Linked DNA regions of Arabidopsis thaliana. The protein of the gene in region 1 purifies or fractionates together with the protein of each later gene. This does not show direct contact. Each region holds a gene or a part of one and is shown in the gene's direction. Other genes may lie near its edges.

The links.
Region 2: the proteins of AGP30 (region 1) and STRS2 fractionate together in Arabidopsis thaliana (co-fractionation; one large-scale study listed by BioGRID). This does not show direct contact.

What each region holds. Positions count from the first base shown.
Region 1 is NC_003071.7:14,292,385-14,297,868, reverse strand, and holds AGP30 (arabinogalactan protein 30), read left to right. Parts: upstream 1-2,515; 5' UTR 2,516-2,631; coding exon 2,632-3,040; intron 3,041-3,696; coding exon 3,697-4,007; 3' UTR 4,008-4,308; downstream 4,309-5,484. Other genes in the region: AT2G33793 (DNA ligase-like protein), read right to left, coding at 454-543, 650-762. UniProt on the Arabidopsis thaliana protein: Proteoglycan required for the timing of seed germination. May function in the abscisic acid (ABA) response.
Region 2 is NC_003076.8:2,792,580-2,798,991, forward strand, and holds STRS2 (DEA(D/H)-box RNA helicase family protein), read left to right. Parts: upstream 1-1,808; 5' UTR 1,809-1,960; coding exon 1,961-2,202; intron 2,203-2,296; coding exon 2,297-2,403; intron 2,404-2,526; coding exon 2,527-2,582; intron 2,583-2,679; coding exon 2,680-2,904; intron 2,905-3,300; coding exon 3,301-3,507; intron 3,508-3,581; coding exon 3,582-3,668; intron 3,669-3,757; coding exon 3,758-3,853; intron 3,854-3,927; coding exon 3,928-4,143; intron 4,144-4,245; coding exon 4,246-4,428; intron 4,429-4,696; coding exon 4,697-4,969; 3' UTR 4,970-5,181; downstream 5,182-6,412. Other genes in the region: PDE340 (P-loop containing nucleoside triphosphate hydrolases superfamily protein), read left to right, coding at 1-127, 202-288, 377-472, 552-767, 852-1,034, 1,253-1,480; AT5G08630 (DDT domain-containing protein), read right to left, coding at 5,996-6,146, 6,319-6,407.

The sequences.
Region 1 (5,484 bases):
ACAACAGATCAACCAATATCAAAAAGGCTAGAACAAATGATCGAACACTTTATCTAGCTAAAACTAGTTGATATTTGGTTTGCGATACAAGATCCAGACTAATCCACATATAAAAGAGCTTGATATCTATCAATCGAACATATATATGCTTTCTAGTTTAAGCGATACATGAGCATACCATAACCAATTTCACAACAGATCAACCAATATCAAATGCTAGAACAAATGATCAAACACCTTAGCTTCATCTAGCTATATCTACTTGATAAATTGATTTGCGATACAAGATCCAGATCTAATTCATGTACCAACGATAACAATTAGAAGAAACGCTCCATCAACAAATGCACATGAGCGATCGACATGAATATCTCGATAACTGCATAGTGAATGATGAAATCGAAGTTTACATAACCTAATCAGAGAGAAACATGTAACGGAGAGATATATGACCTGGAAATGCTTTCTTCCTTCTTCTTACGGCCATCTTCGTGCGCTTTCTCTCTGAATTGCTGCAACGCCGACATGATTCCTTTGAAATCGCTACACGATCAACACGGAAACACAATCGCGAGTCACATTTCAGCAAAAAAACAGAAGAAACGAAGAAAAAGAAGAAGACGAAGCAAAAGAAAACACGAGAACGGACCTAGAAACATCGACATCCAATTCGTCCGGGAGTTTTGCTTTCGGTGTTGGCTTCTTGAGCGATTGCGGCGGCTCTGGCCGAGTTCTCTTAGTGCCTCTTCTGGTAGACGACATTGCAGACGAAACTTAGAGAGTGTGAGATTCGATGAAGCGAAATCAATAGCTCTGGCGAGTGGCGATTATCTGCTCTCTCTCGCTCGTGTGATTTGGATTTGAATTTGAATTTTGAAATTCTGTTTGTTTGTTAGAAGACTTCACACTTCACAATAATATATAGCCCACTTACGTATTGTGGATGCCGTCGTAGCTGATCACGTACTCTCACTATTTTCGTTTTCTTTTTTGATTTTTTTTTCTTCTTTAAGTTATGGCTAACATAATTACTATTATAAAAATAAAAAATTATTCTATGCATATAATTCTTCAAATTGTGGGTAACAAAAGTCACTGTTACTTCTATTTACATCAATTTTTAACCCAAATGAAATATGAGACTTGATACATCATGGGCCTCTATTTTTTTGTCAAAACATCATTGGGCCTCATGGCTTAAAAATGCGTATGAAAACTTCCTTCAACTCAAACCCAAATTAACTCAAATTATTGCATGTCGATCTCATTGTTATCTTGAGATTGATCATTGAAGTATAGAAAGTTAGAAACTTTCACCCCTAGGCCTAGTTTATGGTTTACTCTAGCGTATATCTGTCTTACCTCTTCTCTCAAAGCTTAAGGCCATTGTGTTTACGTTTATGTATATCTTCACGCTTTATTTTTATTTTTTTGGTTTAGGTTAATACCAATCCTAAAAACTAAATACATATCACCGTACCATTTAACGTTTTATCAAAGTTCTGTGGTTCAACACTCTAAATATTACATGTGACGCTATACCATACGTTTGCGAAGCTTGGAATTTTTCAAAAAGTATTTGATCTCACATAGCTTTATTCAGAACCTCCAAAAGAATTGCACTTATAATCTCCAAGGCATTGTATAGTTTAGGAAATGAAATCTTATGCATGACGTGAAACGATGAAAGTATAAATCTTTTTTGTAAAACACTAGACCAAAAGAGTTTCCACTATTAATTAACATCAATTTTTAATAGTTATTTTCCTGATTTAAGAATAATTACACGGGCATTGTTTTACCAGTTTCATTAAAATCTAGTTGACTTTTTAACGTATTTTATCTTATCCTGATCTAAGAATAATTTTATAGGCACCGTTTTGCTAATTTAATCAAATTGGAAACCCAAATAAATAGAAACAGAAGTGTGGATATTAATTGAACTTTTAAATGTGTTGTAATGTGTTGAAGCCGCACCAGGCGCATCTTGTTGCCATGCCCATGTTAAGGACCACAAAACATGGAACATGAATGAAAACTCATGCACTAATACTATCTATATCCCAGATATTTGCATTGAAAGTTACACTGTAAATTTACATATTGTCCAATAGAATTTGTAAAATTATATCTATATTTTTTTTTACTAACTCTCATTAAATTCACAAACTATAAGAAATTCACATATACATGACTATAATTTTCTCATAAAACTTTCAAATCATAACATTAATTTGTTGAATATTAACATATATATGACTAAACACTGTATTGAATTCAGCTGTGATGCATTCGTTAATTATTATCTTTTCATCAGAAAAAATAAACTTCAGGTAGGTTGACGAAGTTTTCATTTATTCTATTAAAAAAACCCGGGAAGTGACTGTACTACAAATCAATATCGAGTTTCTTGCTTCAAGTATTCAAACCTGTTAGGAGATCTAAATCTAAATCTTTAACGGGACTACATCGATCGGAAACTTCTCGCCAGTTGTGTACATGTGCTGTGTATGCCTCTACTCTCTAGTATCTATATGAAGTATAAAAAATTGTAGCCCGATATCTCCTATAAATACACCCAAGTCACATCAACCCAAAGTCACACACACAAAGAAAAACAAAAGAACAAAGATGGGAATCATTGGTAAGAGTGTTTCTCTAACTCTCTTTGCACTTTTGTGCTTCACTTCCTCTGTTTTCACCTTAGGAGTGAATCAACCTGGTTCATCAGATCCCTTCCATAGCCTTCCCCAACACCTTCCCCTACCTCCAATCAAACTACCAACTCTTCCACCGGCCAAAGCTCCCATCAAACTACCAGCCTACCCACCAGCCAAAGCTCCGATCAAGCTACCAACTCTCCCACCAGCCAAAGCTCCGATTAAGTTACCAACTCTCCCACCGATCAAACCTCCTGTTCTCCCACCAGTTTACCCTCCTAAGTACAACAAGACCCTAGTGGCAGTTAGAGGTGTGGTCTACTGCAAAGCTTGCAAGTACGCGGGCGTCAACAACGTCCAAGGCGCTAAACCCGTTAAAGGTACTCACTTATATACATTCATGATATGAAAGTCTATATATTATCCTAAAAATCACTCGAACCCTTAATATACGCACCTGTGGACCGTGGTATGTCCGTATGTGAAAAGTCCACACTTCAATCCCATGCATTCATACTTTTTTTTTGCTAAAGGTATGCTGCATGCATACTTCATCCTTTACATTTATTTTAGGCATATGTTATATGTATCATAATCTCATTGTCGGTTGTTCAAAACTTTTTGTGTAAACTTTTAACTATATGCTACCAAGCGAGATTAGTTCAGAGCCGGTCGTATCATTCTGGTCCCTTCACGAATTGATAAACATAAAATATACCATGGAAAACTAAGTAACTTCTTTCAATGCTTTTGAATTTAATTTAATTATAATCAATAGGTTTTTGGTTAAGACAATCTACTGTAGCGAAGCCTTGTCATTGTTTTCCCCAAGTTTCCTATAATACCAAATTTAGCTCAACTAGTAAGAAAATCTTGTTCAAGTCATGCCCCTTCTTAAAAAAAGAGGGTAAATTTACCATAACTAATCTAAACAAATACATGCTCTTGCATTATTTTAAAACAATTTCTGTATAACAAATCTATCCAAGTACTATATTTTCACTTTTTATTTCGTTTGTGTTATCTGGGGATACAGATGCGGTGGTGAGACTTGTGTGCAAGAACAAGAAGAACTCAATATCGGAGACAAAGACGGACAAGAACGGATACTTCATGCTCCTGGCCCCTAAGACGGTGACCAACTACGATATCAAAGGTTGTCGAGCTTTCCTCGTGAAGTCTCCAGACACCAAGTGCAGCAAAGTGTCGTCACTCCACGATGGAGGCAAGGGCTCCGTTCTAAAGCCGGTCTTGAAACCAGGATTTTCCTCGACCATCATGAGATGGTTCAAGTACAGTGTGTACAACGTTGGTCCATTCGCATTCGAACCTACCTGCCCCAAATGAGATGGTGTTATAAGAGCTACTTAAACTTTTATTAATCAATGATTGTGTTGAATATGTATCAGCTTGGTTTCTTTGTATGGGCTTTTCTGGTAGTGTTAATCTTTCTAATTTGCTTCTTAAATAAAAAGTGGTGACGTTTACATATTAGGTTTTTCTTGTTAATTCCTTATCTTCGTGACCCCAAAAGAAAAAAGAAAAAAATAGTTTGCTAAATAAAAGAGACTCTGAATATGTTATGTGGATGTTAATGAACACAACCGTTGATATATTAGCCTATATATTAATTCATTAGGAATCGAAATGACCAAATTTATCTCCAACACCATCATATCAGAACAAGTATTGACAAGTGTTGAGCAACTAGTACAATAATTTTCTTTCATAATTATACTGTACATTTGTTCATTTTGTACGAAACCTCTGATGCCATATATAAAAATGTTATCTATGATTTCGACCTACGAGTACGAACAGTCATCTTTGTACGTAAGTTTGTCATTATTGTATAATTGATTTTAGGAAAAAACTTTCTGTAAGATCAGTTAAAATTTAGTAGATCTCCTATCATTTATCATCATTATATATCTTCAATTGAAAGATGAATCAAAATTAATTAGGCAACTTGGCAAAATATATAAAGTTTATTGACTTTGTTAAACTTACATAATCTATATATTTTTGACAACACATATATCTTTTGGCAAAAACATGGTAAATAGATGGGTTGGTATAACTTAATAACACTTTACAATCGTTCAAAATCACCCAATAACAAATTACTTACCCAAGACTTCATTCCATAATAAGATCTCATTGGATTAACTTGTTCCTACATATTTATATTTTTAGTTGCACTCTGAAAAATGGTCTAGCTAGTTCATGTGTTATAGACGATGTATTGTACTACTATGATAATCACATGAATTGTATAAGAGCGTATGACCCGAAAGAGAGGATTTGGGAAGTGGTGAACGGTGTGGAATTAAAACTACGTTTGGACGGTCCACGATCATTCACAACAAGTTATGGTAGAAAATTAGTTGTGTTTTTGCATAAAATAGAGAAAATGAGCGAGACAACAGAAATTTGGTGTGCAGAGATTGCCCTCGAAAGGCGCGAAGGAGGAGAAATATGGGGAAAGGTCGAGTGGTATGATCTTGTGCTTGATGGAACATCTTGCATTATGAAATGTCTAGCTGTTAAAAATTTGATGTTTCAACCATGTAATGGTGGTCATTATCGTCTTGTCGTTCTATGGTTAATAATGATTGATTTTGATATCAATAAACATCTTCTTTTATGGTTAGAGATTAGCTTGGGTACCTTCTATCATTAAAAGAAAAAGAAATATTTTGATGTTTAGCTTTGTTTAGTGCTTCAAAACTTCTCTAGTTTCTTCATAATTACTCCGTGAACGATACACAAAACACAATGAGTTTGGAAAGAAAAGTTTTTAATAAGCTAAATGCCTAAATCC
Region 2 (6,412 bases), on another chromosome or scaffold:
AGTCCTTGTGCTTGACGAAGCTGATCATCTCTTGGACATGGGTTTCCGAAGGGACATTGAGAGGATAATTGCCGCTGTTCCTAAGCAGAGACAAACATTTTTATTTTCTGCCACCGTACCTGAAGAGGTTACTGTCACTTTCTAGTACAAAGGCTCTCATTTTTTGGGTTGGAATCTTGAACTGTGTTTTTTGGTGTCAAGGTCCGCCAAATATGCCATGTTGCTCTGAAACGGGATCATGAGTTCATCAATTGTGTCCAAGAGGGCTCTGGGGAGACACATCAAAAGGTAAAAGATTTCTCTTTAGCTTAATTTGAGTGAATGGCCTGCCATATGATTGGATGTTATCAGTTTCTTATGTTTGTTTTATCTCCAGGTCACACAAATGTACATGATTGCATCACTGGATAGACATTTTTCGCTTCTACATGTGCTTCTTAAAGAACACATCGCAGATAATGTGGACTATAAGGTAACATTATCTCTCTAGTGCCATTATGAATAACCAATGTCTGTATTTCTGAACTATCCCGATTTCGTTGCTGTTGTAGGTTATCATTTTCTGTACAACTGCTATGGTGACAAGATTGGTGGCTGATCTGCTTAGTCAGCTAAGCCTGAACGTCAGAGAGATCCATTCTAGAAAACCGCAGAGTTACAGAACCAGAGTTTCTGATGAGTTCCGCAAGTCCAAGGCTATTATCCTAGTCACATCTGATGTATCTGCTCGTGGTGTGGATTACCCTGATGTGTCATTGGTCGTACAGGTAACCATAGTTTTCTGACATGGAATTGTTCTGCGACTACAAATTTTATCTCTTTTGTTTAACTGAAGTTGTTTGCTTTTGCAGATGGGATTGCCATCAGACAGGGAGCAGTATATACATAGACTTGGCAGAACCGGGCGGAAAGGGAAGGAAGGGGAAGGAGTCTTATTGTTGGCACCATGGGAAGAGTACTTTATGTCATCTGTTAAAGACTTGCCCATCACCAAGTCTCCACTACCGCCAATAGACCCAGAGGCTGTGAAAAGGGTAAGCATTTTCATATAAGCGCACTCACATGAATTTGTGATTCTACTGAACTTGGCAAGCCTTTCTTAACTCATATTTGCTGGCAATCCAGAATGAGTAGGGAACTTGAAACTGAACCTGAATCTCATAACACAACTCTTTGAAGTTAAAAGCTATGATTTTTGAAGGGTGTGAGTATGAGTGAGTATTGCTGGGTATAATAAACTTGTTGAATTCAGGTGCAGAAAGGGCTGAGCCAAGTGGAAATGAAGAACAAGGAGGCGGCGTATCAGGCGTGGTTGGGTTACTACAAATCTCAGAAGATGATTGCAAGAGACACGACCAGACTGGTGGAGCTGGCCAATGAGTTTAGCCGCAGCATGGGACTTGACAGCCCACCAGCTATCCCCAAAAATGTTCTTGGCAAGATGGGTCTCAAAAACGTTCCTGGTCTTAGAACCAAGTAGATTTTCTTTTTTCCTAGTGATCTGCTTTGGTTTTAAAACTTTAATGTTTTGTAAGTGTAGACGTGTAGTCTCTTGTCATTCTTGCTACACTCTTAAGACTTCCTAACTAAAAAATCCTATAAAAGTTGCCTTCTTATAAAGGTCTTTTGTTTGTAATGGCTTGTTAACATGAGTATTTCGATTTTCACTAAAAAAACAAAAAAAGTATTAAGTTGGATTATACGTGTTTGAAGATTTAACAAAACTTTTTTCTGATATAAAACAACACGTTTCAAAGCAAAGGGAGCAACTACATGCCGTTTTGTATATTTGTTGACATTTTGGGCCACTCGCATCTGTACCCTTAAGCCCTAAATTGTGTTTCCTACAAAACCTTTTAAACCCTAAAATAACCGACGGCGGGAATTTGGTAGTTGCAGAGCCTTACAGTTAAAGGCATACGCTTCACCGTTCTCTTCCGTCTTTTCTCCACTCGTTGGCATGAATTCCGATGGACCCAAATCCGGTAAGAAGAGACGAGAGATTCGTGCTAAACTTGTGAAGAAGTTGACGAGTGACGAAGATGGCTCGGGAAAGCTAGTCAAGGACAACAATAAGAGTCTAAAGAGGGGAAGAGAAGGCAAATCTGATGTTGATGAGCCTCTTATTAAGAAACCAGCTTCTACTACGCCTCTAGTGACTCAAATTGCTAAAACTTCAGATTCTTATTTGTCAAAGACAAGGTACATTTTTTGCGTTTCTTTCGGAGATAGCTTCAGAGCTATTCTTAGTGGTGTTTGATTCAGATTTCTCTTTATGGTAAAATGGTTCTTACAGATTTGATCAGTTCCCACTGTCTCCCTTAACGTTAAAAGGAATTGAGGATGCTGGATTTAAGACAATGACTGTTGTTCAGGAGGCTACTCTTCCTCTCATTCTCCAAGGTGAACTTGCCTAAAAGGCAGAAACTTTTGCATCTTTCTTCATGATTCCTTATGTTTTGTCATGACTTAAACATTTTGAAGCTTGACTATTCCTCTATTAATTATTCTTCCTTGGTTTTCCAGGTAAAGATATCCTTGCGAAGGCCAAAACAGGCACTGGGAAAACAGTTGCATTTTTGGTGAGATACCCTTTTTGGGTTCATGTTGGTCATTTAGGATTACAATCAGTTTGATTAATTGGGGTTTGTTATTAATGTTGATGTTTCTTTTTCCAAGCTTCCATCAATTGAAGCTGTTATCAAAGCTCCTCCTGCAAGCCGTGATAATAGGCATCCCCCAATTATTGTGCTTGTGGTATGTCCTACTCGGGAACTTGCTTGTCAAGCTGCTGCAGAAGCAAACATCTTGCTCAAGTATCACCCATCTATTGGTGTTCAAGTTGTGATTGGAGGCACTAAGCTTCCTACGGAGCAAAGGCGCTTGCAAAAGAGTCCTTGCCAGGTAAATTTTCATTTGTATTAATATGTAAACTTATTTCTGAGCAAATCATGCATTTCCATTGAGCTGGACTTCTCAGATGAAACTTGTTATCTGACCAATAGAGTTGCATATATTTCTTTTCAAACTGAGTTGGTTATCCTTCGCTAGAACAATATGGACTCATGATTTGAATTTCTAAGAATATGAATTAAGATAGATTGTTTTTTAAAAAGAAATGGATTTCCCTGTCCAAGTTAGGATTGTTTTTCAGTCACAGGATATGTTCTTTGATCTAAGCCTCATTATGCATTTAGATTTTTTTGCATTATTTGTCTTCCCTGCAGTCAAAGTGGCTGCAGAGATGGTGATCTTTGTCTCTGTATATTTTTGAATAATAACATATTTTCACACTCTCAGATTCTCGTGGCTACACCCGGAAGGCTCAAAGACCATATCGACAACACTTCTGGATTTGCAACAAGGTTGATGGGTGTGAAAGTCCTTGTGCTTGATGAAGCTGATCATCTCTTGGACATGGGTTTCCGAAGGGAAATTGAGAGGATAATTGCTGCTGTTCCTAAGCAGAGACAAACATTTTTATTTTCCGCCACAGTATCTGATGAGGTAAGTGTCAGTTTCTTGCACAAAGGCTTTCACTTTTGGGTTGGAATCTTGAACTGTGTTTTTTTGCTATCAAGGTCCGCCAAATATGCCATGTTGCTCTGAAACGGGATCATGAATTCGTCAACTGTGTTCAAGAGGGTGCTGGGGAGACGCATCAAAAGGTAAAAGATTGCTTTTTAAGTTCATTTGAACCAATGGCCTGCCATATGATTGGATGCTAATGGTTTCTCATGTCTGTTTTATCTCCCAGGTTTCACAAATGTACATGATTGCATCATTAGATAGACATTTCTCGCTTCTATATGGTCTTCTGAAAAAACACATCACAGATAATGTGGGCTATAAGGTATATTGTTCCTCCAATGCCTTTGTTAATCACCACTGTAATTCTGGATTAACATGATCTCCTTGCTGTTGCAGGTTATTATTTTCTGTACAACTGCTATGGTTACAAGATTGGTGGCTGATCTGCTTGGTAAGCTAAGCCTTAACGTCAGAGAGATCCATTCTAGAAAACCGCAGAGTTACAGAACCAGAGTTTCTGATGAGTTCCGCAAGTCCAAGAGTATTATCCTTGTGACATCTGATGTATCTGCTCGTGGTGTTGATTACCCTGATGTGTCCTTAGTCGTACAGGTAAATCATGTAGTAGTTTTCAATCATGGAATTGAACAGTATCTACAAAGTTGATTGTTTTTTTTTACCGAAGTTGTTGTTGTGTGTATGTTGCTTTTGCAGATGGGATTGCCATCAGACAGGGAACAATATATACATAGACTTGGCAGAACTGGGCGGAAAGGTAAGGAAGGAGAAGGTGTACTATTGTTGGCACCGTGGGAAGAGTACTTTCTATCTTCTGTTAAGGACTTGCCCATCACAAAGTCTTCTTTACCGCCAATAGACCATGAGGCTGTGAAAAAGGTAAGATTTTTCAAATACTACTACTGTAAACTTAGCCTGAATTTGTGACTCTATTGAACTTAGCAAGCCTTTCGTAAATTCTATTCGCTAGCAAGTAGCAAACCAGAACAACCAGAATGTTATATAAACTGTATTGGAATATGTATGCAAAGGAATAAGATTTTCACATCTCACGAAACTAACCTCTTTTACGTTAGAAGCCAAATTTTTCTTAAGAGTATGTAACTCGAGTGAGCATTGATGGGTGTTGAAAACATGTTAAAATCAGGTGCAGAAAGGGCTTATCCAAGTGGAAATGACGAACAAGGAGGCGGCATATCAGGCATGGTTGGGTTACTACAAATCGCAGAAGAAGATTGCTAGAGACACGACCAGACTGGTGGAGTTAGCTAATGAGTTTAGCCGCAGTATGGGACTTAGCATCCCTCCGGCTATCCCTGTAAATATTCTTGGCAAGATGGGTCTCAAAAACGTTCCTGGTATTAGAGTCGCTCCAGGTTTTGACAAGAAACCTGCAAAGAGAAATTATCGTTCCCGCTAGATTTTCTCTTTCTTTGCCTAATGGTATTGTTTGTGTTGAACTTTATTGCTTTTTTGAAGTTTGGCATTTTGGTAAAAGTTACCTTCTTAAGAATTTCATTTGGTAATTTACTAATTTGTCAAGATCCGGTTTGTTTCGGAGCCCAAAAATCCGAAAATAAAAAATTCAGAAAAAATAGAAATTTCTTTGGTTAACTGATCGGTTCATCTCTTCCAAAAAATTATCTAATCGGTTCATCTTACCGAACCGAATTTGTTACCCAAAAAGAAAGAGTTCCGATTGGCTTTTTGGCTGAAAACTAAACCTGACTTGTAGTCCTTGGTTTGCTTCTGAATCATAGCTAGGCTGTTCAACATTGTAAATTCTGTCTTACAGCCCACAGGTGTGGGTGTAATTACCTGGATTTGAAAATGAGAACTGACTTTCTTCTCCGAGTAGTTGTATACTGTATAGATTCAAATGTCGAACTACCAAATTCATGTTTTGATTTTTTTAAAACAAAAAACAAGGGTACAACGATGGTCCTAAATGTTTATTTTGGAGCTAAAACAAAGATGACATGCCATCAAATTTATCAAACCGCACTGAAAACAAAAATAAGTCAAAAGGTTTTAGCCTAATTAATCTAAGTCTTCTGTAACAAAGCTTAGAAATATAGCCACCAACCAAAATCAGACATAGATGCAAATCTGCAATGAAACATTTTAGGAATAGTAATAAAACTTCTAATTTCCCCGGAAAAAATAAAAAATAAATGGTACCTCGGTATCATAGAGTACTGAAAAGAAGGTGATGATGAATGGTAACAGAAAAACAAAACAAAACCCAACACCATCTTTCTACTCAAGCGTTGCCTTCACCATACCATAAGACTAATGCCTTTTTGTTGTAACTTGTAAAAAGCTCTACTAAACCCTAAAGGAGCCAAAGAAAAAACAGAGAAGACAAGCTGAAAATGGTAAGTTTTGGCTATGGCTGCAACTGCAACTACAAGCTTTTCCTATACAGAATTGAATTCTGCTACGTTTAGTCCTCTTTCCACTTGTTAACATATCTCAAGAAGGCACTAGCTGGATTTTCATGTAGTGGAGCTCTTACACGGGTAGATCTCCTAACCACTGCTTCTTCCATTTCTATGTTGTGAGCAATGTCCTTCGTCCTCTTTTGTAGTGTAGAGCTGCAAATCACAAGTCATCGCCAGGTTTTAAAGCCATTACACATAAACAAGGGGACTTCGATAAATGTGGTGTTACTCTTCTACATGTGCATTAAAGTGAGGGTAGAACAAGTTACCAGAATAATAAATACTGCAGATTATGCAAAATAGAAATGGGAAGCTATAAACTGACCATATTCTGTCATAGAATATCTCTAGTTGTGTATATAATGACAGTTCCCTCTCTCCTTTACGGTTTAGTGACCCCATCAATGCATCCAGCTGGA